5 linked regions of the Coturnix japonica genome follow. The protein of the gene in region 1 purifies or fractionates together with the protein of each later gene. This does not show direct contact. Links are inferred from orthologs where the notes say so. Each region holds a gene or a part of one and is shown in the gene's direction. Other genes may lie near its edges.

Region 1 (5,341 bases):
GGCGGGTCTTAAATATCTCCAGAGAAGGAGACTCCACCACCTCCCTGGGCAGCCTGTCTCTGCCATCTCTCCATGCTCTTAGCTCAGGTTAAAGCCTTCAAGCTCTCCCTCTTTCCCATGTCTTTTCCTTGGAGCACTGAGGGGCTCCCCATCCCCATTTTTTAAATCAGCCCAACATCCTCACTGTCATACACTGGGACTCTTCTGTCCCAGTCATATTTCCCTGTCACAGCTGATGGCTGGGCACAATGAGGGGCTGAGATGTCCTCTGCAGAGACAGAGTTATTTGTTGAGCCTAGAACCATGCTTCCCGTTGCTCTTTTTCATGCATGAGGAAAGGCTGTTTGCAGTAGGTTGGGCACAGTCATTAAGTACCATGGTTTTTGCAAGCACCTGGTAACCTGCATGTTGGTTTTGAGTCATGACGGTTGGTTGTTATTTTATCTTCAAGTTATCAAGCAGCTTGAGGTGCAATACCATGAGAAAGAAAGAGCAGCAATTAGTCACCATCCCATGAAATGCTGCAACTCGTTCCTCTCTCTGAATCTCATCTGTTCATCTTAGTCAGATTATGGGGAGCGGGAGGCTTCATTTCTCACCTGAGGTTTTAGTAACAGATTGAAAAAACAATGGCACTACATGGGAATATAATGTGACCATCATCTAGAAAACACACAGAGGCAGAGGGATTGGGTTCATGCAGAAACCAACCATGATCTGGGCCAAAAAACTATGGGATATATTGCTTAATCTACCCCTCTGGCTCTGTTCTTAGAATTCAAATTTTCTCTGAGCACTCCAGATCAGCTGGGGATGCTACAGAGTATTGAAGTTCCATGATATTCATGAACTCTGAGAAGTTTTGTGGCAATGTGGAAAGACGGTAAATGAGGTACCATTTGTGATGCTGTCTGTCTGGACACTCACAACAGCAAAGGCAAACTTAGCCAAATCAATTACTTTTAGTGGCATCAGCAATGGAGGGCAGCCAGCCAGCCCTACAGTTCTTTAAGGAGTTATAAAATGCACTTCATTTTTATAACCTCTGTACAATAAAGTATTGCTCTAAAAAGTGTTTCGGAGCACATGAATTCCTGCTTTCTTTCAGAACATTTTCATTCCTGAGTGCATCCTGAGCGCCCCAGAGACATCCCACACCACTGGGGTAGCACTGAGGCTGATATGGTACAAAGGATATGCAGCTCAGCTCAGCCCACCTGAGGGGCTGGGAAGGGAGCAAGGGCTGAAGAGCAAGGCAACCTCCTCCCTTAAAAAGGCTCTGCCGGGGACGGAGGGGTGTGTGTGGGGGGGGGGGGGGGGGGGTAAGGGCAGGCCCTGGCGGAAGCCCCGCCTACACCTTCCGCTCACACCTCCCTGCGGCCCCTTCCGCCGCGCATGCGCACAGAGCGGAACGGCCTATTCACGCATCCAAAATGGCGGCTGCGATGGATGTGGACACCCCCAGCGGCACCAACAGCGGCGCCGGCAAGAAGCGCTTCGAAGTGAAGAAAGTGAGACCTGCTGGCGTGGCGCGCTCTACCCGGCCGGTCCCAGCGGGAGGAGGGAGGTCGGGAGCGGCCAGGTGGCCGCGAGCGGGTCGGGGCGCTGAGCCGCTTTCCGCGCCCCCTCACGGAGCCGGGCGTTGCTTCCGCACCGGCACCGCCGTATGAGGGGAGGGGGGGGCGGTGCTTGCGGAGTCTATTGGCGTGTGTCGGGGCCAATGGGTGAGACGGGTCTCCGCGCGTGGAACGGAGGTTGGCCAATCAGAGGGCGCGACCACGCGGGGAGGAGGAGGGAGAGAGGCGAGGCGGGGCTAGTTCTGGCTGGGCCCCGCCGCCCAGAGCCGAGGGTAATGCCGGGCTTAGGGGCGAGTCGGTGCGCTGCTGTTGCCTCCTCAGTCCCGGCTGCTTTGGCTCAGTTGTCTTAGTGGCCCTACGTGATGTGAAGGGAGCTTTGCACGCATTTGTGTGGCTGCTTCTTTTTGTATTCTTCACAAATCAACTCGTAGGTGACCAACAAATGCTGTCTTGTCATCCCGGTTTGCTTTGCTTCCCCCAAACAACCATAATATCCCTCTTTGGCCTAACAACCATAATATCCCTCTTTGACCTACCCTCTCCAGTGTGGCTGCGAGCTGAATGGTGGTGAAAGATCCCAAGTTCACTTCAACGAGGCCCGGAGGTGGTTAGGAGCACTTTGTGGGAGCACTTTTGATATTGTATATTTTTTGCAATGAAAATGATTCAGGAGTCGCTGAGGGGCAAAGTTAGAGGTGATTCTGGTTGTTGGCCCCAGCTGCTCTGAGGGATGATTACTGGGAAAACAGCTACAAACAAGAGAAGTTCCAAACTGAGGATGTGGCGTGAGATGCATTCTTGCCTCCAGATTATGAATTGAAATGCAGATGTTTGCATTTGTATGGCAAAAAAAAGAGAGTGGGACTAGTATCAATTGTTTCTGAGACTGGAAGGAGGCACTGAGTGTGAGAGGTATCTGAGAAAGAATTACTCTGGTGCTGTAAGGTGTGTGTCTTTTAATATCCTAACCTTATCATTTCAGAAAGAAAGAGGATCTTGAGGAATAATGAGGATTTCCATGTGTTATATGTTGAATAAAATTTATGTTTCTCTTTTTTCCCCCCTCACTCTAGTGGAATGCAGTAGCTCTGTGGGCGTGGGACATTGTGGTTGATAACTGTGCCATCTGCAGAAACCATATTATGGATCTATGTAAGTAAATGATGGGGAAGCGTGCTTACAGTTTTGACATGTACAAGATTCACAGTTGAAATTTCCACTGCTCAGGGTGCATTTCAGCAAATCTGGTTTTCAGTTCAGAATGAAGTCTTTCGGTAACACTATAAACTCTGTTCTATGTAGTGCTCAAGTTCTGCTTTCTGTGTCTGACTGACCAGAAAAGATTCAGGCCACTGAATTTTTGACTCCTCATTCTGCCAAAGCTACTTTGCCTAAATTAGGGTTATAGTGTGGGGAATTCTGTGGCCAGCTAGAGAATCCGTTTGTTATCTATGAAGAGAATAATCTAATGCCTAAACCAACACCAAGCATTGCTAGTACTAATTCACCTTTTTTTTCCCCCCTGTATGGTCCCAACAGTCCTGTTAACAAATACACTTACTATTTAGGAAAACAAAGTGGTAGTAGGAGTAAGTATAAAAAATTCTACTGTGAAATAGGTATCCATATATAAAGTCACCGGCTTTGGTCTAATTGAGGATTGGCAATAAGAACAGAGCCATTTTTTTTTCCCCTCAAATCTTTGGCAATATATGGTTGGCACCGTAACTGTCCATGTTCTTTCAATGATAAGATACAGAACACCTTTTAACATCCCCCAGATAGGAAGTCACCTGTACTACTAAAATGGGAGGATTGTGGTACCTCAAAAAGCAAGACCTTCAGTACCTGACAAGGGCTAGTCATGATTTCTTTGTGGTCGCTTTGTTTCACTTTCTTCTTAGTAGCCCTTGCAAGTACAGCTGATGGTAACTTACTGTTAGTGAGCCAATGTGATAATATAAAAGAGCAGGGGAAAAGAAAAAGAGGCTGTGCAGTGTACCATGCAGGGCTGAAAGGGGATTAAGCAAGCTGACTTCTTTGCTTTGAGTCAGATGTGTTCTATTTTGAGCCAGCTGCTGCCTGTCCATCGCTCACTTTATTCTTGATCATTAGAAGAGGAATGGTAGCACTAAAGGCAAGCAGGTGAGAGGAGTGGTTGTGACATGTGCTGAGGACCTCTGACATAGTGCTTTACAGTTAAGAATTGAGGTTGGGTGGAATTGAAAGAATATAGACGTGTTAGGAAGAACTTCAAAGGAAGAGAGCACAGGTAACTTAGTTTTTGTTTTGTTTTGCTTTTTGAGTTGCTCAAGCATAACACCTTATTAGTTAGGGCATAATCAATGCTATCAAAAGCCCAAACTGCAAATGATGGACCAAAATTGACAGTATACAGAGTAGAAGCGGTATCTAAATTGGTGTTCTGAGTTCAGCCTTGGCTCTGGATTTACTTACTTCCTTGTTAACGATCATTAATGATGTTAAGCAACATCTTAATTAGATTTTCAAACCGAAGATGTGAAGTGATGGGAAATAGAGAAAAAATTACTAGATTGTGCAGGGAAGAACAACACAAGATTCAGTTTGATAAAGTGCAGGGCAGGAATGTCTCCCTCTCCCACTGATGAGGAGAAACCTTAAAAGGGAAAACATTACAATGGTGATAAGTAACACCAGCCACGCTAATGGAAGATTGTTAACATTATGAAGTCGAGCATCCAAAAGTTAGGATATAACAATGTTAAGGTTTCGTGCAGTCTTGCTAATGCACATACATTACGACTTGGCTGCTAATACTAAGGACAAAGGATTCCCCTGGCCCTCACTATGGCTCATGTTCGGCACATAGAAGGGATGAGTAGATTTTCAGTGGTTTTTGTTCATTTCTGAAAGGGCCCAGAATGTATTTAGATTTTCTTTGTGCAACATCCTTGATTTCTTTCAAGGTTTATTCCCTGCTGCAATGGTTGCAATGGGGCAAGTTTGGGGAATGTTGAGAAACACCATGATCATATAGTGGGTTGTCCTCTAAGTGGAATGTAGTACTGCAAGGTGACTGGTGTGCTTTGAACTGTGTGAAATGTGGCATCAAAATAGTGGACTCTCTCTGATAGAAGATGGAAAGTATCAATGTGATATTCTGGTGTCACAGAGATGGACAAATTGATTAGAATCCAAAGAAAAAAATCTCACAGTGATTTGCAGGTTGGTTTATTTTGGCTTTTTGGGAAGAGCAGAACTAAATATATGAGGTTTGCTAAGGCATGTATATATAGTTTGCTAAGTCATAACTAGGAGTGGACAATGATAGCTGTGCACAAATATTTTGAGAGTGATACTCAGATACTCAGCATCATATGAAGGGGTTATAAGTAGAAGGAGTCATGTGACAGTGAGATGGAGGAACCTGGGGGGAATATTCAAATACTTCTTCAACTGAGAAAATTGCATGGAAAAAGTTCTGAAAGCCCTCTGAAGTTTGACAAACCAAGAGCTCATTCTGCATTGTGGATGTAATAAATGCACTTTAGGTTTCCTAGCCTGGTTATTTGTTTTTTCTGTCTCTGGCATAATACAGTATATGTTGTTAGCTACGGTATGTACATCTTGTTCTGTTCTCCCCAATAACTCAATATCTTCAGGGTGTAGCTGCAGAAAGCACTGTTTAAAGAGAAGGGGGAATCCCTCAGTGGTTACCTTTACTTAAGCAGAAGCCATTTTGAAGAGCTGGGTCATAAAATTCACTGGTGCAGTGGGCTGTG
Region 2 (4,324 bases), on another chromosome or scaffold:
ATAAAAGTCATCCCAGGAGCTATCTGAGCAGTTCACTGATGTTAATTAGAAGCCCTGACTTTACACTGGGACAGCAGATGGGGATGAAGGGACTTGTGCATAGCCACAGCAGGGTGTAGCCACCCCTGGGTGGTCAGATCCCAATGTGTGTCAGTGTCCCTCTGTCTGCAGCTGCACAGCACCATTCCTGCCCCTGTAGGATGATCTTGGCAGCACGCTGGTCTCCTGAATCCCTTGTGCTTTTCTTCACAGCTGTTCAAAGACGCCTGGCTGCTGCACATGCAGGCAAACCCCTGGACATGGCAGCCACTCAAGGTAGAGAATGAGGACCATGGAGCCCCGGAGCTGTGGTGCCATCCTGCCTGCAGGGTGAGTCTGGCTTTGGGACAGATGCATTGGGATCTCTGCTCTCTCACACACACCTGTAGACTTTCCTGCCCAGAATGCTCTCTTCCTTTTTGTCCCAGCAGCCCCCCAGCAGTCCATAACCCATTCCCTCTCCTCTCTTGCAGGTAGGACAGTGCGTCGTGGTCTTCAGCCAGGCTCCCAGCGGCAGAGCCCCGCTGAGCCCCAGCCTGAACTCTCGTCCCTCTCCCATCAGTGCCACACCGCCCGCCCTGGTCCCCGAAACACGCGAGTACCGCTCCCAGTCCCCGGTCAGGACCACAGATGAGGCTCCTTGTGTCAATGGCCGCTGGGGCACCCTCAGGCCCAGAGCCCAGCGCCAGACACCCTCAGGTTCACGGGAGGGCAGCCTCTCCCCAGCCAGAGGTGACAGCTCCCCGGTGCTCAATGGTGGCAGCTTATCGCCCGGGGCTGCGGCGCCTGGCGGTGCCTCCTTGGACAGCCCAGTGCAGCTCATATCGCCCGGCACACCCGGAGCCACTGAAGGATGTGACCTAAAAGTTGGGCTCGCTCTGGCACCGAGGCGAGGATCGCTGCCGGAGCAGAAGGACCTACGGTTGGGCTCCATCGATTTGAGCTGGGAGCAGAAAGCAGCTTCCCTGTGCCAGACGGATGGCGCGGAGGGCAGGACGCTGCGGAACCCCCCCGAGCACACCAACGGCATCCACACACCACCCCACTCTCTGCCGGGAGCCGTGTCCCCCGGAGCGCTCCGCAGGAGCTTGGAGGCCATCAAAGCTCTCTCTTCCAAAGCTCCCCCAGCTTCTGCTGCTCTCAGCCCCCCGCTTGGCTCCTCACCGGGCTCCCCGGGCAGCCAAGGCAGCGGTGCCGACGCACGGCCGGGCTCTGCTCAAGGTGACAGCCACTCGCTGCCGCCCATCGCCCGCCGCCTGGGCCACCACCCCCCGCAGTCCCTCAACGTGGGGAAGCCTTTGTACCAGAGCATGAACTGCAAACCCATGCAGATGTATGTGCTGGACATTAAGGACACCAAGGAAAAAGGACGAGTTAAATGGAAGGTGTTCACTAGCAGCTCGGTGGTGGGGCCACCCGAGACCAGCTTGCACACGGTGGTGCAAGGCAGAGGGGAGCTGATCATATTCGGTGGTCTGATGGACAAGAAACAGAACGTGAAGTACTATCCCAAAACAAATGCCTTGTACTTTGTGCGAGCAAAGAGATAATGTGGCCCGAGCTCATCGCCACCGCTCCCCTCCCCCCGTGGCTCTCCCTCTCCCTCTGAAATCTGTCGTGCAGGCATTCAAACTGTGAATTAGGGAACAACAAACAATGCAGCCCAAGCCAACCTCCAGCACGCCCCGGTGAAGCAAATCGTGTTTACAAGCAGGGGAGCAGCGCCCTGCTGTAGGACCTGTTACTGTGCTCCATGCTGCAGCCCAGGCCAAGGATGTAGGGCGAGTCACGGTGCTTTCCTAGAGCCAACCTTGCAGCAGGAGGCTGTCAGCTCATTGCACTGACCATTCCCGTGCTGGGAGGAAGGAAAACAACAGCAATACCTGAACAAACCTTCAGCACTGCAAGCTGTGACCGTAAGCTTTGCTCGACACAAACACGATGCCTTCTTTTTGCCTCTCACCCCTTTGGCCTGACAGCTTCGTTCCTGTCCTTGTTGCAGGACCGTAAGAAGGAAGAAAGGACAGTTTTGCATTGTAAAGCCAAAAAAATAATCATTGTGAACAGGACGGGCAGGACTTGCTCCCAATGGAAATGCTGAAAGGAACAGGCTGAATGCTGAGCGTTGGTGCACCCGAGCGGCACGGCGTGAGCCTCCACCGCAGGAACAAAACCATCTTTGCATGTGCCTCCTTCCGCAAAGATTAAAACAAAGCAAAAATCCAAATGGATTCAACCCGTGTGTCCGTCTGGGACAAACATCCTTCCTTCCTGCCTCCTTCCTTCCTTCTCTTTCAGCTCGAGGTTGGGGAGGGAAGCTGGGGCTCCATATTACCAACAGCGCCTGCCCTTCCTGAGGATGCTCCCGGCTTCAGCACCTGAAATAGCCAAAAGAAAGTAGGAAATTCAGCCCCAAAACACAGCCCTGTGCACCGGCAGCGCCATGACGTGGTTCCCCATCTCCTCTCCATCCCCACTGAGCTTTGCCGGCTTCACCACCACAACCCCCAACCTTTGGGGATCACAGCCCTCCCCCTATTAAAGTATCGGGGTTCTCTTTGTTTTCTACCTACAATATGAACCTGTTTTGGTCCAACAGGGCTGAGGGGAAGCCCCGTTTGGGATGGGGCTGGGGAGAGGGCAATGCCTCATCTGCAGTTTGTAGATACACCTTCAGTTCAATCCAATCCCAAATCCCCTCTCCTTATGGGGGGACCCCCATGTGACGTCCCATGTTTCTCTCCTGTCTGCATGTCTCAGCCTCCCCTTCAAAGTCAAAACCACGGAGCTGTTGGGAGCTGGGTATGATGTTCTCACCCATCCCCACCAGCTGCCACCCTTTGTGTTCTCCCAACAGCCTCAAATCCCTTTAAACTACCCCAAAATGGCAGCGCCCGGCTGCAGGGCCACACTATGGGAGGGGGTGGGGGGGAGGGGGTTGAGGAGTCCCTTTTTGGTGATATTTAATGAAATCTGTGTACATTTTTGGGTTGGTTTTTTATGTTCTGCTCTTTCTCTTTCTCTCCCTCGAGGAATTTTTAGCCGTTGAACAAATAAAACTTGGAAGAAGTGGCTGAATGTTGAGTCTGTGTATGGGGAAAAATGGGGCTGTGTGGTGGCAATGCTTCCCAATAGGAGTGTCCATTGGGCCTCCATCACCTATAGGGCAGCCTATAACACTGGGAGGTTTTAAGACATAAGGATCAAGGTCCCCTATACCCTATATAGGTTTGGGGTAAGCTATAACATATGGGGCTGTTTGCTTGTAATATAGAGATTTGGGGGTTCCATAGGGGCTCATATAGGGGAGCTATAAGGCTATGGGAGGTCTTAAACACATAAGGATCAAGGTCCCCTATACCCTATATAGGTTTGGGGTAAGCTATAACATATGGGGCTTTTTGCTTGTAATATAGAGGTTTGGGGGCTCATATAGGGTAGCTATAGGGCTAACACTGGGAGGTCTTAAGACATAAGGATCAAGGTCCCCTGCCCCTATAGCTTACCCCTACCCCATATGTTTGGGGTAAGCTATAACATATGGGGCTTTTTGCTTGTAATATAGAGGTTTGGGGGCTCATATAGGGTAGCTATAGGGCTAACACTGGGAGGTCTTAAGACATAAGGATCAAGATCCCCTACCCCATATGTTTGGGATAAGCTATAGTATATGGGGCTTTTTGCTTGTAGTATAGAGGTTTGGGGGTTCAATAGGGGCTCATATAGGGTAGCTATAAGGCTACGGGAGGTCTTAAGACATAAGGATCAAGGTCCCCTATACCCTATATAGGTTTGGGGTAAGCTATAGCATATGGGGCTTTGAGCTCGTAATATAGAGGTCTGGGGGTTTACATAGGGCTATAGGGGCTCATATAGGGCTAGGTATCCTTAGTATAGCTCTGGGGTCCTCTATGGCTCTGTGGTCCTCCATAGCTTTGGGGTCCCCTATAGGGAGCTCTATATATATGGCCTACAACCGGAAGGGGCGGGTCGTATAATAAACCCCGCCCCACGTAACGTCACTCGGGCGGAAGCGGCCTCGGGTGAGGGCGGCGGGTTGTTGGGGCGGGATGGCGGGGGGTGGGCGCTGCCCGGGGGCGTTGGGGGCCCCGTGGGGCGGCCGTGGGGCCGGGACGGGATGTGCGACCCCATGGGCGGGTAGAGGCTGCAACGGGCCGCCCCACAACGCGGCCTTTAGAGACGGCTGCGGGGCCGGGAGGGGCGGCGAGGCCCAGTCGGGGCAATGGAGACCTATAGGGGCTCAGTGCCCCACGGCCGTGGGGGT
Region 3 (4,737 bases), about 3.2 Mb from region 1:
AAGGATTTTGCAAAGACTGACTCATGCTTTGTCCCAAATGCCTGTTATTTCTGAGGTTCTAAATGTCAGTGTAAATTTCTGAGGCAGCAATGCTGGATTAGACCCTCTTTTTTTCTCCCTGCTGGCTCAGGACTTTAGAGGCTGGTGATACCTACACTCTTACTGTGACAACGTAACTGTTATCTGTGTTATAAAATAGATGCCAACCACATAACTCTCTCCAGAATGACAAAATCAGAGAAGTACTAAGGTGGGGGAGGAGAAGGACAGATGGATGTGGATCCTTTGTCAGCAGAAGACTGACTAGCCTTTTGTTTTACAAGGCATTAATGAACCTCTTTGTTGCCAGTTGAGGATGACTTGGTGTCCTACACTGTGTCTCTCAGATCTCCAGTCACTGATGTAAGAAGCTAGTCAAAAGGCTCTAGAGGAATAACTGAGCACTGACGTGTCCAAGATAATGGTAGAGTCTTCTGGCTCCTCTTTCCTAGGATAACAGAATGGAAAAGCACTCTTATCTGAAAAATGAATGTAACAGACATTTACAGCATAGGTGTGTGCCATCTGAGCTTTGAAATCTGATCAAAGAAGGTCTGACAGCTTGAGAGCCAGTTGGTTTTTGGAGAACTCATGTATTTCTCATAATGGTGCTTTTTAAAGCCATTGGGTAGCCTAGCCTTACCATGGAAGTAGGCTGGAGTTTCTCAAAAAATTGCTATTCCATACACACTATCCACATACACACACTAGCTGCAGACCTGGGCCCACCAAGATGACAAACAGATCACGGTTTTGTTTATAAGAAAGCCATGGTTTTTCTGCTCTTGCATAATCATTGCATTATAACCTCTTGAAATTAAGCTTTTTATCTCTCTGATTTGATAGAAAAGGTTGCGGGTGTTTACAAAGACCTTCAGAAATTATCTCGTCTCTTTAAAGACCAGCTGGTTTATTCTCTTCTGGCTGCTGCCCGACAAGGTGAGAGAGATGATACTTAATTTTTGCAGATGGAAGAAAGGGAGGGAGTGTATGCAGAGTCTTGAGGGAGAAGTGTTAGAAACAGTTCAGACAGCTGCTCAGTGGTGGGTATGTGGAGAGTAAGAAAAAAATGGACACTCTAAAGAAATTAGATTAATCTTTGTATTTTAAAAGAAGTCAATATAATGATAATTTCCCATCAAAAGTCAGAGGGCACCAAATCCAAACTGTATGATGGGTGTGGTAGGACAGTGCAGCCAAGACAGGCAATGTACTCCACTGTCTTTAAACTGGTATGGGGCCTGACATAACCATGATGCAAAAGAGTGGTTGTCTTTGCTGTCCTGACTCTGCAAGTTGGAGCCTTCAGCTTAGTTAGCATTGTGATGTAGCAGTCAGCATTGATGGTTTGTCCATGTCTTAGGAAATCCAGGAGGATCATCCCTTTCCTCACTTTGCCCACTGAGGGCTGCACCTTGAACTTTTTTTTAATGTGAAATTCATGTATCACTGCTCTGTGTACTGCTGTTTTGACTCTGTCTCATAGTGCTGACACCACATCTCATGATTGAGAATGGAACAGGAGGCTGTCACTGTCAGTGTGGTATTGTTGCAATGGGTCCTCACAGACTTGTATAAATTGTTTTTTTCTGTTCCTATGTGAGCCTTGGTGGGGCCCACCTGACACAAACGTCTCAATATTCTAGTGTTGCCACCATCTTTTCTAACTTCTTGAAGGTGACACTCAGCTCTGTACATTGGTCCCTGGAAGTAATCCACTGATTCACATGGATGAGCTGATAAAGACACTCTTCGTTTCATTATGTGACAGCTGTGTGTGGCCATGCAGAACATGGCTCTTCTTTCACATCACAGCTGTTGCCTCACTGTACTCACACCTAATATTTTGTCTCCATAAACATTCGGCAAATGTTGATAAATGTCAGTGGGTGCAATTTTTTTTCTGCATGGAAGAACTCAGTACCAGACTTTTGCTTCATCCACACTTCTGTGTCAGACACCATTTTGTCAGACCGCCCCTCTGCTGCCATCTGTTGGAAAGCAACAGCATGTAACAGCATATTGGTGGGAAAGCTCAGCCAGTAGAACCGGTTCAACAGAAAGTTCAACAGTAGAACTGCAGGCATGTCCAACCCACATGCTGCATGCAGCCTGGCATAGCTCATACTGCAGCCACCCCCTACTCTACATCATCATGGCAGGCTCTTCCTGTTATGTTTGCGGCCCGGCCCAGCCGTGGGCATGCACTCATCTCTCAGTAACAGCCAAACATCAGGGTGTGCTTGACACTAAGCTGAAACCAAGACACAGGGGGCACGGTGCAGTGCTAATTGAAGTTATGGCAAATGATTATAAGCATTTTGGTGCTAAACTGTCCTGTGAACAATGACATATTTGCAGTTTTCTGTTTTGATAAAGGAGTCTGAGATTCATCAAATTTTTTCATGTTTGCCATTCTCCTGTTTTCAGTTGACACAAATACGTTACCTGTGAATTTTCACATGGAACGTGTAAAATTGCAACCAGATATTGATTGTGTCTCTTTACTAGACTTTTCTAAGACCTATCAGCAGTAGGAAATCAGGCTTTCTGTGTATAGATACTGCTGTAAAAGAGTTCAGCTTAGTATTCTGAAGACACAGTGGAATCCGTAGACTTCAGTGCGGGCAAGTTTTATGTGAAACATATGCTGTGCATTTGATATGTTTTTTTTATGGACTCTTGTAATCAGGCAGACCTTTTTCCTTTGGCCTTTGTTCTGTAGCCTGCACACATAAGCATGCGGCATGTTTCTTAGGTTAACAGCAGTCACTGGTGTTCAGTGTAAAGTACCATTTGGCCTATTTCATGAACTCATAAACATACTGCAAGGTGGAAGAGATCAGTATTCTAAGAAACCGTGTCCTGGTGCTTTTGGAGACCCGTTGTTTAACTGAGGCATCAAAAGGGAATGATCTAAGGGAAAGGTTATGATGTCTTTCTTTTCTTCAGGGTCATCAGCTTTGCACCATTTAGTTAATTCTTCTGTGTCCTCCACTTCGTAGCTCTGAACTTGCCAGATGTCTTTGGGTTAGTGGTCCTTCCTCTTGAGCTGAAGCTTCGGATTTTTAGACTTCTGGATGTCCGTTCCCTCATCTCTCTGTCTGCTGTTTGCCGTGATCTTTATGCAGCTTCAAATGATCAGCTTCTGTGGAGGTTTATGTATCTGCGAGATTTCAGAGGTAACGGTGATACACATTTTCTTCAATTTCATTCTCGTGTGAACAGGGGTAATTAGGTCTTACGTTTTGATAAGAGGTTGCTCAGGTAAGCAGTCTTGATTTTTAAATAGTGGCATCAAATAGAGTCATTAGTGATAGTGACCAGTACAGTGGACTAGATGTAATTCAGGTGGGTATTCTGTTTTCTGTCATGAAAAATAGTAATAGTTATCTGAGCCATTTCTCATGGACCATATAGTTCTGCCCATCATGTGGTAGAACTTTGGTTGTTTTCATCTGTTTCTCTTGCTACTTAGATACACTTGTTATTGCAGCTATCTGAGAGTGAAGAGAAGGGATATTCCTGCTAGAATTCCTCACAAGAGACTGAAGAAAAAGGTGGTAAAGGGAAGTGCTATTATAAATCAAAGATGGGAATAATATTCCTGGGATTTCCTAGGAGTTTCGGAGATGGTATTTTATATAGAATATGAGTAGATTATATACTGAATGGTCCTACAGCTTTATATTTTTTTTAAACACATTATGTATTGACCAGAGATGTTTTTTTCATCTCCTGCATGTTCCCACAAATCCTTGGCATAAATGCTACTTAAAAGAGGTTGCTCATTTTGATTCTGTGCTTCTCTTGTAGATCCCATTGCAAGGCCTCGTGACACTGACTGGAAAGAAGTAGGTGGCTTCTCTATATAATCTCACTGAGATTAGTCTACATGGGAGAAATTCAGGGCAAACACAGAGACTTTGGGAAGCTGTAGTTTTGAGTTAAATTTTAATTTAAAAGTGTTCTGTAAACACGAGTTGAGTTTGGTTGGAGTAGGGGAAGATGAACATCAACAAGAGACTTGGTGAACCTTAAAATACCTTTGTTTCTGTCTGCAGCTATACAAGAAAAAGTTGAAACAGAAGAAGGAGGCCTTGAGATGGAGGCACATGTTTCTGCCCCCTACACCTCATCCAATTCCCTTTCATCCCAACCCATTTTATCCTAGTCCCTTTCCTCCCAACCCATTCCCATCAAACCCAATCTATCCCCCCATGGTCATTGGAGAATATGTTGAGAGACCAACGCTTCTGTATATTGGAGACCCAATTAATTCACTCATTCCTGGCCCAGGAGAAGCACCATGCCAGTTTCCTCCATTCAGACCACATTTTGACCCCATTGGTTCCTTGCCTGGAGCAAACCCTACACTTCCAGGACGAGCTGGTCCCAATGACAGGTTTCCACCTAGACCCAGCCGGGGCCGCCCCACGGACGTTCGCCGTGCGTTCATTTGATTGCTGCTTTCTCCCTCAGTGGATTTTCTAGTTCCTGAGCTTGCTTTCTAACTGCAGGACCTTGTAAAGCCAGGCACTAACATCTGCCTTCTCCTCAGATTGTTGCAAGAACTTGTTTGCATGGTAATGTTTTGACCCCAGAGTTAGGGTTTGTTTGTGTTCTGGTAATAGTGCAGTACCTGGCACTAAGGTCTTTTTCAAGATGGGCTGTGACTTAGAACAGTACATGTTGTTT
Region 4 (4,737 bases), on another chromosome or scaffold:
CACGTGGGCAGGTGAAGGTGCCGTTCCTGAGCTGCCCTCGGCCTCGCAGGGAGAAGCTGGTGAAGGCGCTGGTGGAGCTGCTGGGCGTCGAGGAAGCCAAGTTGTACCCGGCAGCGCTGGCGCTGCGGCTGGTGGCCCTGCTGATGGAGAGCTGTGCCTGGAGTGTGCCCTTCGGCACTGAGGGAGGTGTGCGAGCGGTGCTGGCCTGCATGCAGCAGCACGCGGCCTCTGCCCTGGTGCAGCAGGCCGGCCTGGCGGTGAGTGCGTGTGGGAGCTTGGGGGTTGGCGGGGCCCGCTTTGGATCCCACCATCCCCTGAGCCTCTGCGGGCTACGCAGGCCCTGAAGGTGCTGGTGGGAGCTGGAGGTGGCAGCCGGAAGGCTTCGCTGCTGAGCCACGCCGACGCACAGATGATGCGGGAGATCTTTGCCAGCATCGGCTCTGCCTGCGGCGAGGGCTCACCCGGCCTGCTGGGTGCCATCCCCGCTGCCATCCGTGCCATGCAGGCCGTGCCAGGGTAGGGATGGAGCTGTGTGGGTCCTGGGGAGCTCTGCACCTGGGGAGGAAGGTGCCCACACGGCTGCATAACCGCAGGGGCTCCTCGGGCGTGCAGAAAGGCGGGCCCATGCTGGTGGTGAGGATGCTGGTGGATGGGCACCGGGTCCTGGCAGAGCAGCTGGTGGGCTGTGATCTCCCTGTGGTACTGCAGAGCTGCTGGCAGGCTGGACGGGACTCCGGTTGCCCCAACGCCATGCTGGCCCTCAGCGTCATCAACCACCTGGCAGAGCACCAGCTGCCCTATGGCCCTGAGATGCCAGGTACTGTGCGGGTGGCCCTCTGTGCCACAGCCTCGCAGGTAGGGGCTGAGGATCTCGTCCTTCACTGCCTGTCTCGCAGGTGCTGAGGCCCTGCTGACGGAGGTGAGGGAGACACGGGCTCCTGCAGGCAGCTTGTGGGACGGCGTGCTGCCCGAGGACGTGGTGGTGGCCCTGGAACGGCAGCTCTGCGGCGTGGCCGCCATTCCTGCCAGTGAGGCATCCCGGCAGCTGCAGGAGCACCGATGCTTCCGTCCACTGCTGCGCAGCCTCGAGCTGCCAGGGGCAGAGAAGGCCGTGGGGCTGCGAATCTTCAGGTGGGGCTTGGTCAGAGCGTGGGGGCTCGGGGCGCGGCTGCCTTATGGCCCAGGCTGAGCGGCTCCATCTGTCGTGCAGGATCCTGAGTGTGTTCCTGGACGGTTATCAGGAGGACGCGCTGCCCTGGCATGAGTGTGTGGAGCCGTGCCTGTCCTTCCTGAGCGCCCACAGCAGCGACCGCGAGGTGAGAGGGCCTTGGTGCTCCTGGGGGCAGGGAGGGCTGTGCTGCGTGCCACCGGCTGAGGGCCATGTCCCCGCAGGTGGTGCAGGAGGCGGTGGGCTTCTTGCACCGCCTGGCTACTGCCAGCAAAGACTGCACCGTGGGGATGTGCAGTGCAGGCGCCCGTGAGGCTGTGGCCAAAGCCCTGGACAAGCACAGCCCGGCCCTGCCGCTGGCACCATCCCTGCTGGAGCTGGTGAGCGACTGTGAGAGGCACGCCGCGCTCTACAGGAAGCTGACGGGCAGCATCTTGGCAGGCTGCATCCAGGTGGGCTGGGTGTCTGAACTACCCTGCCTGGGGACTTGGGGAGAAGGATGAGGCCCCCACTGACTGCGTGGGTCCGTCCCCATCCCCAGGTGGTGCTGGGGCAGATTGAGGAGCACCGCCGCAGCCAGCGGCCCATCAGCATCCCTTTCTTTGACGTCTTTCTGCGCAACCTGTGCCGAGGTGAGTGCAGGAGTGCGAGCCGGGCAACGTGTCCCAGCAGCAGCTGGAGGCTGTGTGTGCTCTCCCTGCAGGCCCCAGCGTGGACGTTAAGGAGGACAAGTGCTGGGAAAAGGTGCAGGTCTCCTCCAACCCGCACCGCGCCAGCAAGCTGACGGACAGGAACCCCAAGACCTACTGGGAGTCAAACGGCAGCACCGGCTCGCACTACATCACCATCCACATGCAGTGCGGGGTGGTGGTCCGGTAGGGCTGTGCGGGGAGGAGATGGCTGCGGGGCTCCACGCACGCTGTCCCTGTGGCCCCATGCTGGGGTTGCTGGATGTGGATGGGAGCTGCAGGGCAGTGCCGTGTTTGCCATGCAGGGAGTTGAGCATGCTGGTGGCCAGCGAGGACTCGAGCTACATGCCAGCCCGCGTGGTGGTGCTTGGGGGAGACAGCCCCGCCGACGTCCGGACGGAGCTGAACGCAGTGAGTTGCACCAGTGCTGCTGGGCTGTGGGGCAATCCCGGCCATGGCTGCACCGGGGCTGACCGGGCACGTGTGGGTGTCTGCTCTCACTGCCCACACTGAGAGCTCCCATCTGCCTGCAGGTGACCGTCTTGCCCTCAGCCAGCAGGGTGGTGCTGCTGGAGAACATGACGCGCTTCTGGCCCATCATCCAGATCCGGGTGAAGCGGTGCCAGCAGGTGGGAGCTGTGGCCAGCCCGGGCCATGGCAGCGGACATTGGGGATGGACACAGAGCTCAGGGTTGCACTTTCCTGCAGGGGGGCATCGACACGCGCGTGCGTGGCATTGAAGTGCTGGGGCCCAAGCCCACCTTCTGGCCCATCTTCAAGGAGCAGCTGTGCCGGCGCACGTTCCTCTTCTGTAGTGCTCGAGCACACGCCTGGTGCCAGGAGATCCACCAGGATCGGGGGCAGCTGCTGCAGCTCTTTGGCAAGTGAGTGGCGTGTGGGCTGTGCCATCTGTCCCTGGGGTCCCGAGGCAGCAGGGGTGCTGCTGTCAGCCCAAGAGGGAAAGGGGGCAGAGGCTGAGTCCTGCCCTGGGAGGAGTGGGGCTGCAGCAGTGTCCTTCCTGGTGAGGGGCAGGGCCAGGAGTGATGCCTGTTGCCCCCTGACTGGCCAGGTGGTTCCATGTGCAGTTGGTGGATGCTTGCTGCCATACCGTGCTGCCCACTTACTGTTGCAGGTTGAACGGGGCATTACAGCACGAGCAAGACTTCACTGACCGCTTCCTTCCTGATGACGAGGTGGCCCGAGCCCTGGGCAGGACGTGTTGGGAGGCCCTGGTGACCCCCGTGGTGCAGAGCATCACCAGCCCAGGTACCACTGTCATCCTGGGCCCTCCCTGTGGTGCCCGAGGCCCCCCTTGAGTCTCTGCATCCCGTCAGACCCCAGCGGCATCAGCCCTCTGGCCTGGCTGCTGGGTGAGTACCTGGGGAGCACAGAGCCGCCCCGCAGCGACGCTTTCGGTTCCTGTGTGCGGCGCCTGACCCAGCTCCTGGTGCACGTGGACCCGGGTGGTGTGGAACCAGAGGAGGAGGGAGCTGTGGGTGAGTGCAGGGCTGCCTTCCTGCGGGGCCAGGCGAGGGGCAACATGAGGGGCTGAGCTTCGGCTGTGCCTTGGCAGGTGGGAAGGAGGGCAGGAAGAAGGAGACACCAGCCCGGGTGGCGGTGGCAGTGAAGTCTGGAGGCCTGTGGGACATGGTGCGGTGCTGGCGTGGCGTGGTGCAGCAGCAGGTAGGGTGCGGGGCGGTCAGTGCCAGCGGGGCCCACTGCCGTCCCACTGCAGGCTGAACTCTGGGCTGTGCCCGCAGGTGCAGCGGTTCCTGGAGGTGTCGGGGCAGGCACTGAACATGGTGGAGCAGTACTGTGCGCTGTACCGGTGCCTGCGCGGTGCCACAGAGGAGCTCTTTGGGCAGCAGGCCGCCTTTGTGGCAGCTCTGGGCCAGGGCTTTGCTGGGGCTCTGCTGCAGCTCTCCTTCCTGACCTCCCTGCACGTGAGTCCAGCGGCCCAGCATGGCCCTTGTGGATGCCCAGCTGTGGGAACACAGCCCTGCTGTGCTCCCTGCCCGGGCCGGGTCACATCTCCCCTTCTGATGCCCCGGGGCTCCTGCCCGTGCCCTGACCCCTGCGGCCGCCCCGTCCCACACCACTGTGCCATTCCTCTGCAGGTGAGCGAGCGGTTTGCCCGCTACCTGGACAGGAAGGTGCAGGAGCTGCACGGGGCCGTGGGCAGCACAGGGCAGCTGCAGCAGATCCTGGAGCCCTTCGTGGTCTTCGGCGGCCTGGAGTTCGCCCACACCTTCGAGCACTTCTACCGGTGAGCGCTGCCCCTGCCGTGCCCTGGGGAGGGAAGGGCTCATGGGCCCGGGGCTCCGTGGCTCTGCGGGGCCCGTCCCGGTGGTGGCAGGGCCGTTGTCCACGGGGCCGAGGTGGCCCTGACGTGCGGCTGTGTCAGGCTGTACCTGGGGGACCGGCTGCTGGCACAGGGGCCGTCCTGGCTGGAAGGGGCCGTGGTGGAGCAGATGGGGCTGTGCTTCCCCCGCCGCTTCCCCCAGGAGATGCTGAGCGACCTGGTGGAGTCCGAGGAGCTGCGGCGGCACTTCCGCCTCTTCCGGCTGCAGGAGCGGGACCGGCGGCTGCTGGAGCGGGGCCTGGGCACGGAGAGCCCCGAGGCCGAGGTGAGGGGCAGGGAGGGATGGGGGTCGGGGCCGTACCGTTACCAGCCCGTCCTGGGCCCGTCCTGAGCCGCCCTCTGTCCCTGCGTCCAGGCTCCAGAGGAGGCCCCTGCGGCAGATGTGCCGGAGGTGGAGGTGCTGGTGCTGTCCCCGCGCTGCTGGCCCGTGTCCCCGCTGTGCTACGTGCAGGAGCCCCGCAGGTTGTTCCCGGCGGCGCTGAGCTCCCCGCTGGATGAGTTCGCGGCCTTCTGGCAGC
Region 5 (4,737 bases), about 14 Mb from region 1:
GATCTTCCTAGAGAGACTGAAGAATGAAATCACTCGGTTAACGACAGTGAAGGCCATGACACTGATTGCTGGTTCTCCTTTGAAGATAGATTTGAGACCAATCCTGGGGGAAGGAGTTCCTATTCTTGCTTCTTTTTTGAGAAAGAACCAACGGGCTTTGAAACTGGGCACTCTTTCAGCTCTAGATATTTTAATTAAGAATTACAGTGACAGCTTGACAGCTGCCATGATTGATGCTGTCCTGGATGAGCTTCCACCTCTTATTAGTGAAAGTGATATGCACGTATCACAGATGGCCATCAGTTTTCTGACAACACTTGCTAAAGTATATCCTTCCTCCTTGTCAAAGATTAGCGGGTCCATTCTCAATGAACTTATTGGGCTGGTGAGATCGCCTCTACTTCAGGGCGGAGCACTTAGTGCCATGCTAGAATTTTTCCAAGCTTTGGTTGTGACTGGTACAAATAATTTAGGCTATATGGATTTACTGCGCATGTTAACGGGTCCAGTGTACTCTCAGAGCACAGCACTTACTCACAAGCAGTCTTATTATTCCATTGCCAAATGTGTGGCTGCCCTTACTCGAGCGTGCCCTAAGGAGGGACCAGCTGTAGTAGGTCAGTTCATTCAAGATGTCAAGAACTCAAGGTCCACGGATTCCATTCGGCTTTTGGCTTTGCTTTCACTTGGGGAAGTTGGGCATCACATTGACCTAAGTGGACAAATTGAGCTGAAGTCTGTAATATTAGAAGCATTCTCTTCTCCTAGTGAAGAAGTCAAATCAGCAGCATCTTACGCATTAGGCAGTATTAGTGTTGGCAATCTTCCTGAGTATCTGCCTTTTGTCTTACAAGAAATAACCAGCCAGCCTAAGAGGCAATACCTTCTTCTTCATTCCTTGAAAGAAATAATTAGCTCTGCATCAGTGATTGGTCTCAAACCATATGTTGAGAACATCTGGGCCTTACTCCTGAAACACTGCGAATGTGCAGAAGAGGGTACAAGGAATGTTGTTGCTGAATGCTTGGGCAAGCTTACTTTAATAGACCCAGAGACTCTGCTTCCACGACTCAAGGGATACTTGGCATCAGGTGAGTTGTATGCTTAAATTGTAGAAAATGGCCTTGTATTATCTTAATATATTGTTGTGGGTTTTTTTAGCAATTTCCTTAAGTTCTGTAATATTCCTGAAGTCTGCTTGCCCCCCAAAACCCTCTGCCAAGAACAATATGAAGTTTAGTTCCATTTGGGCAAGAGAAAGTTAAGTGGTGCAGAGCATGAATTACTTTTATGTTCTGCTTTCAGAGTATGATATTTAATTTAATAATGTTACATTTAACAAAACTATAAACTTAAAGGGAAGAGCGTGGGCAGCAAAGGACAGTACTGCTTGATAGATTTGTTGCAGAGCATTAACATTTAATATATTCCTAATTCTCCAGTAAGAATTCTGAAGTTTGTAAGGTTGGAAAGGATGAAACTGATACTGAGTTATAGTCGTATTAAGAACTGCATCAGTGTGTTTTCTTCATGTCCTTCTGCTTTAAAGAGGAGAATTGTTTAAAGGCTTGCATGAGAGAAATTAGAAGAGTGTGCAAGTAGCCTCATTACTTCAGTTTTCTGGTGCAGAAAAGATTTATTTCAAATACTGTGTTTCAGCGTTTAAAATGTAACACCAGTACATCTACAGAGACAATGCTGTGTTACCAATAATAAGTAGCATTTGCTCTTCAGCTTGTGTAAGACTATTAGAAGCTCGGAAAGAATGGGTTTAAGTGTGGTTTAAATTCTGTAGTTGTGCTGTTTTAACTGTTACGTACTCACAATTTTATTTCACATTAGGATCCTCGTATGCTCGAAGTTCTGTGGTGACTGCTGTGAAGTTCACTATTTCTGATCATCCACAACCCATAGACCCGCTCTTGAAGAACTGCATAGGTAAGTTCTTTACTTCTAGTGACAAATTCTAAGTTTTCAAGCAATGGAATTGCATTTAAAGCGTATTCTGTGTGTCTTCGGAGGAAGATTATTTTGTAGGTGGAACTAGAAATAACTGCTTATGTTAACTGTTGAAAGTGTTTGAAGTGCTTTCCTTAGGAGCCAATTATTTTTGTTAACTCTAGCTCATTTGAATTCAGAGTGGTACAAGATATGTGATAAAAGTTGCATATAATGCATCTGCAATGGACAAAGCATGCAAGGAGCAAGGACAAGGAAAGATGGTACCTAAGAGATGATTTCTTCTTCCAGGATCTTTGTAAATTATGTCAGGTTGAATTAGTAAGGTTCCTTCTTTACCCAGAAAGGTGGTCTTGGAAATACTTGGTCTTAAAATATATATACACGTGTTAATTCTGAGTATTGTCAGATGGTGGGTTGTAAATCTAGGCCCTTGCAATTCTGTAATGCTTTCTGGTCTGAAAATTATTGGAAGCTATTGTTTGTGGGTAAGGTAATCAGGGCTTTCAGTATGATAGAGCTTTGCAATTCTGTGGCTTTCTGAGCTTTTCTCATTTGTATGACATTGTTGTAGATTTCTTTAATATGCTGTGGTGACTCTTAGCTTTGTAGTGGATTGATGACCCTAAAATCTTTAGAAAGGAGCATATGCCACTAAATCTAATAAGAGGTAAAAAGATTCATCTTTAGAAACAGTTTTGTGGGGAGCAGGTTGTTTGTTTATGGTTGAGGCAGTGTCAGTTCTTACCTTATTTTCATTGCTAATCTTTAATATTTTTTTTATTAATACATTAATGAGTTGAATGATTATGCGTGGGGGCTTCTCCTCCTGCTGTCTTCCTCCCACTGAAGGTGCTTTACCCTTTCGATTTCTGGAAATACTTTCTGGGTATTGAAAACAGTAAATGAGCTATTGGGATCTACTACTTCAAAATTCTCTTCTTGTTAGTCTTGTTACCTTTTTTTTTTTTGTGGGTGTAGAAGCCGCCTTTTTTTACATCCTGTTTTTCCCCTCTTTAAACATTCAGCACTCTTGGAAGTTGCTAAATACTGTGGGGGCAGGAGGGGGGTGAAAATACTTGTTCCTGCAGGCCTTTGTTTTATCAAAGCAGTGCTACAAAGCTACAAAGGAGCTAATGTGAAAACGTATGGAGACAGGCCTTGTTACATTAATACATGCTGAGTAGGCTTATCTTCTGGTCCATTAGGAATTTGTTGATGTATTTCTCTATTCAATTGCAGGTGATTTTTTGAAAACATTGGAGGACCCAGATCTCAATGTCAGGAGGGTAGCCCTAGTGACATTTAACTCAGCTGCACACAACAAACCATCATTAATAAGGGACCTCTTAGATACTGTGCTTCCTCATCTTTACAATGAAACAAAAGTCAGAAAGGAATTAATCAGAGAGGTACGTTAACTGAGCAAAATGTGACCAGATTAACATAAGTAGACTCTGTTTGCCTAAATATATTACTTTTTAACTTTGTTTTTTTGTTTGCTGACAGGTGGAAATGGGACCATTTAAGCACACAGTTGATGATGGGTTGGACATTAGGAAAGCTGCCTTTGAGTGCATGTATACTCTTCTGGATAGCTGTTTGGATAGACTAGATATATTTGAATTCCTAAACCATGTTGAAGATGGCTTGAAGGATCACTATGACATTAAGGTTAGCTGTCATTTTACTACGTAAGCAAGCAGTAAATGTTTTGAATAGTGAGTAGACTGAGATGGTAGCAATGATACTTCACGTGCTTTAATGATATTTTAAATAATGAAATATTTAAGCATTACGGTTAACGGTTGCAGAGTACTCTAGGAAATAACTCTGTGCTCCGCATGACTGATTTTTGGTTTTCTCTCCAACCAGATGCTAACCTTTTTAATGCTGGTGAGACTGTCTACCCTTTGTCCAAGCGCAGTGCTGCAGAGATTGGATAGGCTTGTTGAACCTTTGCGCGCTACATGTACAACTAAGGTATTCTTTTAAATAGGAACTTCTGTTTGCTAATTATCTTGTATTGCTTTACAGAATTACAAATGAATTTGTATATGAAGAATGATTCTTGTAATCCACATCTACTGCTGCAGCATTTCCTGAGTTACAGTTTGTAAATTGCAGTCAGCAGATGCGTTACTTCTTCTTAAACTACAAATTGAAGAGTAAAATGATCAGTTCATTATTAAAAATGCTGCTTCTTTGCCATTTCTTTTGTTTCTCAGAAATCTAGCTGCTACTTCAGCAACTTGTGTCTATTATAAACAGTGAAATTAGAATACTGAGGGTTTTTCTGACTGCTGATGATTATGTTGTTGCAGACAAGCATTAGCGTGATGAAGGATGGAGGTAGCATAAAGTGGTGCTGGTTTTTGGTTTGTTTTATCGTGTTGTTTGCTTTGTTTTTCCCTCATCATTTATATAATGAGATTTTTGGATTTTGGCACAGTTGGTCTCCTTCTCCCACTCATCTTGATCCAGCTATGGGCTCTGATACTGATTTAATGCCTGATTTATCTTTCTTTTCCCCATTACTGTAATCTTTTATATATACTGTCGGTAATTTTTACTGTTTCTAATAATAATTTATCACTGAAATCAAGAGGGAAGGCTAATCAATTTTTTTTTAAAAAGCAGATTTTTTGTTTAATTTTTGTTCTCAGAAGTCTGAAAGTATTTGTGATAGTGCCATTTCAATGTTATTTACTGACTCTACTAGCTAAAGGGTTAGCTGCCAGCGTTTTTATTTTGTTATTGACATGGTAAATCGCAGCA

What was found.
Region 2: the proteins of RBX1 (region 1) and FBXO42 purify together in Homo sapiens (affinity purification with mass spectrometry; 4 studies listed by BioGRID and IntAct, with this or other methods). This does not show direct contact. The link is inferred for Coturnix japonica from reciprocal best matches to the Homo sapiens genes RBX1 and FBXO42.
Region 3: the proteins of RBX1 (region 1) and FBXO7 purify together in Homo sapiens (affinity purification with mass spectrometry; 5 studies listed by BioGRID and IntAct, with this or other methods). This does not show direct contact. The link is inferred for Coturnix japonica from reciprocal best matches to the Homo sapiens genes RBX1 and FBXO7.
Region 4: the proteins of RBX1 (region 1) and cullin-9-like purify together in Homo sapiens (affinity purification with mass spectrometry; 5 studies listed by BioGRID and IntAct, with this or other methods). This does not show direct contact. The link is inferred for Coturnix japonica from reciprocal best matches to the Homo sapiens genes RBX1 and CUL9.
Region 5: the proteins of RBX1 (region 1) and CAND1 purify together in Homo sapiens (affinity purification with western blotting; 6 studies listed by BioGRID and IntAct, with this or other methods). This does not show direct contact. The link is inferred for Coturnix japonica from reciprocal best matches to the Homo sapiens genes RBX1 and CAND1.

Annotation. Positions count from the first base shown.
Region 1 is NC_029516.1:45,481,762-45,487,102, reverse strand, and holds the start of RBX1 (E3 ubiquitin-protein ligase RBX1), read left to right. Parts: upstream 1-1,705; 5' UTR 1,706-1,720; coding exon 1,721-1,849; intron 1,850-2,650; coding exon 2,651-2,729; intron 2,730-5,341. UniProt on the Homo sapiens protein: E3 ubiquitin ligase component of multiple cullin-RING-based E3 ubiquitin-protein ligase (CRLs) complexes which mediate the ubiquitination and subsequent proteasomal degradation of target proteins, including proteins involved in cell cycle progression, signal transduction, transcription and transcription-coupled nucleotide excision repair.
Region 2 is NC_029536.1:3,750,351-3,754,674, reverse strand, and holds the end of FBXO42 (F-box only protein 42), read left to right. Parts: intron 1-252; coding exon 253-369; intron 370-512; coding exon 513-1,589; 3' UTR 1,590-3,113; downstream 3,114-4,324. UniProt on the Homo sapiens protein: Substrate-recognition component of some SCF (SKP1-CUL1-F-box protein)-type E3 ubiquitin ligase complex. Specifically recognizes p53/TP53, promoting its ubiquitination and degradation.
Region 3 is NC_029516.1:48,678,567-48,683,303, reverse strand, and holds part of FBXO7 (F-box only protein 7), read left to right. Parts: intron 1-885; coding exon 886-978; intron 979-3,044; coding exon 3,045-3,221; intron 3,222-3,855; coding exon 3,856-3,893; intron 3,894-4,103; coding exon 4,104-4,502; 3' UTR 4,503-4,737. UniProt on the Homo sapiens protein: Substrate recognition component of a SCF (SKP1-CUL1-F-box protein) E3 ubiquitin-protein ligase complex which mediates the ubiquitination and subsequent proteasomal degradation of target proteins and plays a role in several biological processes such as cell cycle, cell proliferation, or maintenance of chromosome stability.
Region 4 is NC_029518.1:3,471,410-3,476,146, reverse strand, and holds part of cullin-9-like, read left to right. Parts: intron 1-49; coding exon 50-257; intron 258-337; coding exon 338-516; intron 517-593; coding exon 594-817; intron 818-896; coding exon 897-1,131; intron 1,132-1,210; coding exon 1,211-1,316; intron 1,317-1,392; coding exon 1,393-1,620; intron 1,621-1,709; coding exon 1,710-1,800; intron 1,801-1,871; coding exon 1,872-2,043; intron 2,044-2,162; coding exon 2,163-2,268; intron 2,269-2,390; coding exon 2,391-2,486; intron 2,487-2,565; coding exon 2,566-2,741; intron 2,742-2,989; coding exon 2,990-3,123; intron 3,124-3,191; coding exon 3,192-3,353; intron 3,354-3,430; coding exon 3,431-3,540; intron 3,541-3,617; coding exon 3,618-3,800; intron 3,801-3,974; coding exon 3,975-4,123; intron 4,124-4,261; coding exon 4,262-4,484; intron 4,485-4,574; coding exon 4,575-4,737. UniProt on the Homo sapiens protein: Core component of a Cul9-RING ubiquitin-protein ligase complex composed of CUL9 and RBX1. The CUL9-RBX1 complex mediates ubiquitination and subsequent degradation of BIRC5 and is required to maintain microtubule dynamics and genome integrity.
Region 5 is NC_029516.1:31,603,069-31,607,805, forward strand, and holds part of CAND1 (cullin-associated NEDD8-dissociated protein 1), read left to right. Parts: coding exon 1-1,091; intron 1,092-1,842; coding exon 1,843-1,938; intron 1,939-3,201; coding exon 3,202-3,371; intron 3,372-3,468; coding exon 3,469-3,633; intron 3,634-3,834; coding exon 3,835-3,942; intron 3,943-4,737. UniProt on the Homo sapiens protein: Key assembly factor of SCF (SKP1-CUL1-F-box protein) E3 ubiquitin ligase complexes that promotes the exchange of the substrate-recognition F-box subunit in SCF complexes, thereby playing a key role in the cellular repertoire of SCF complexes.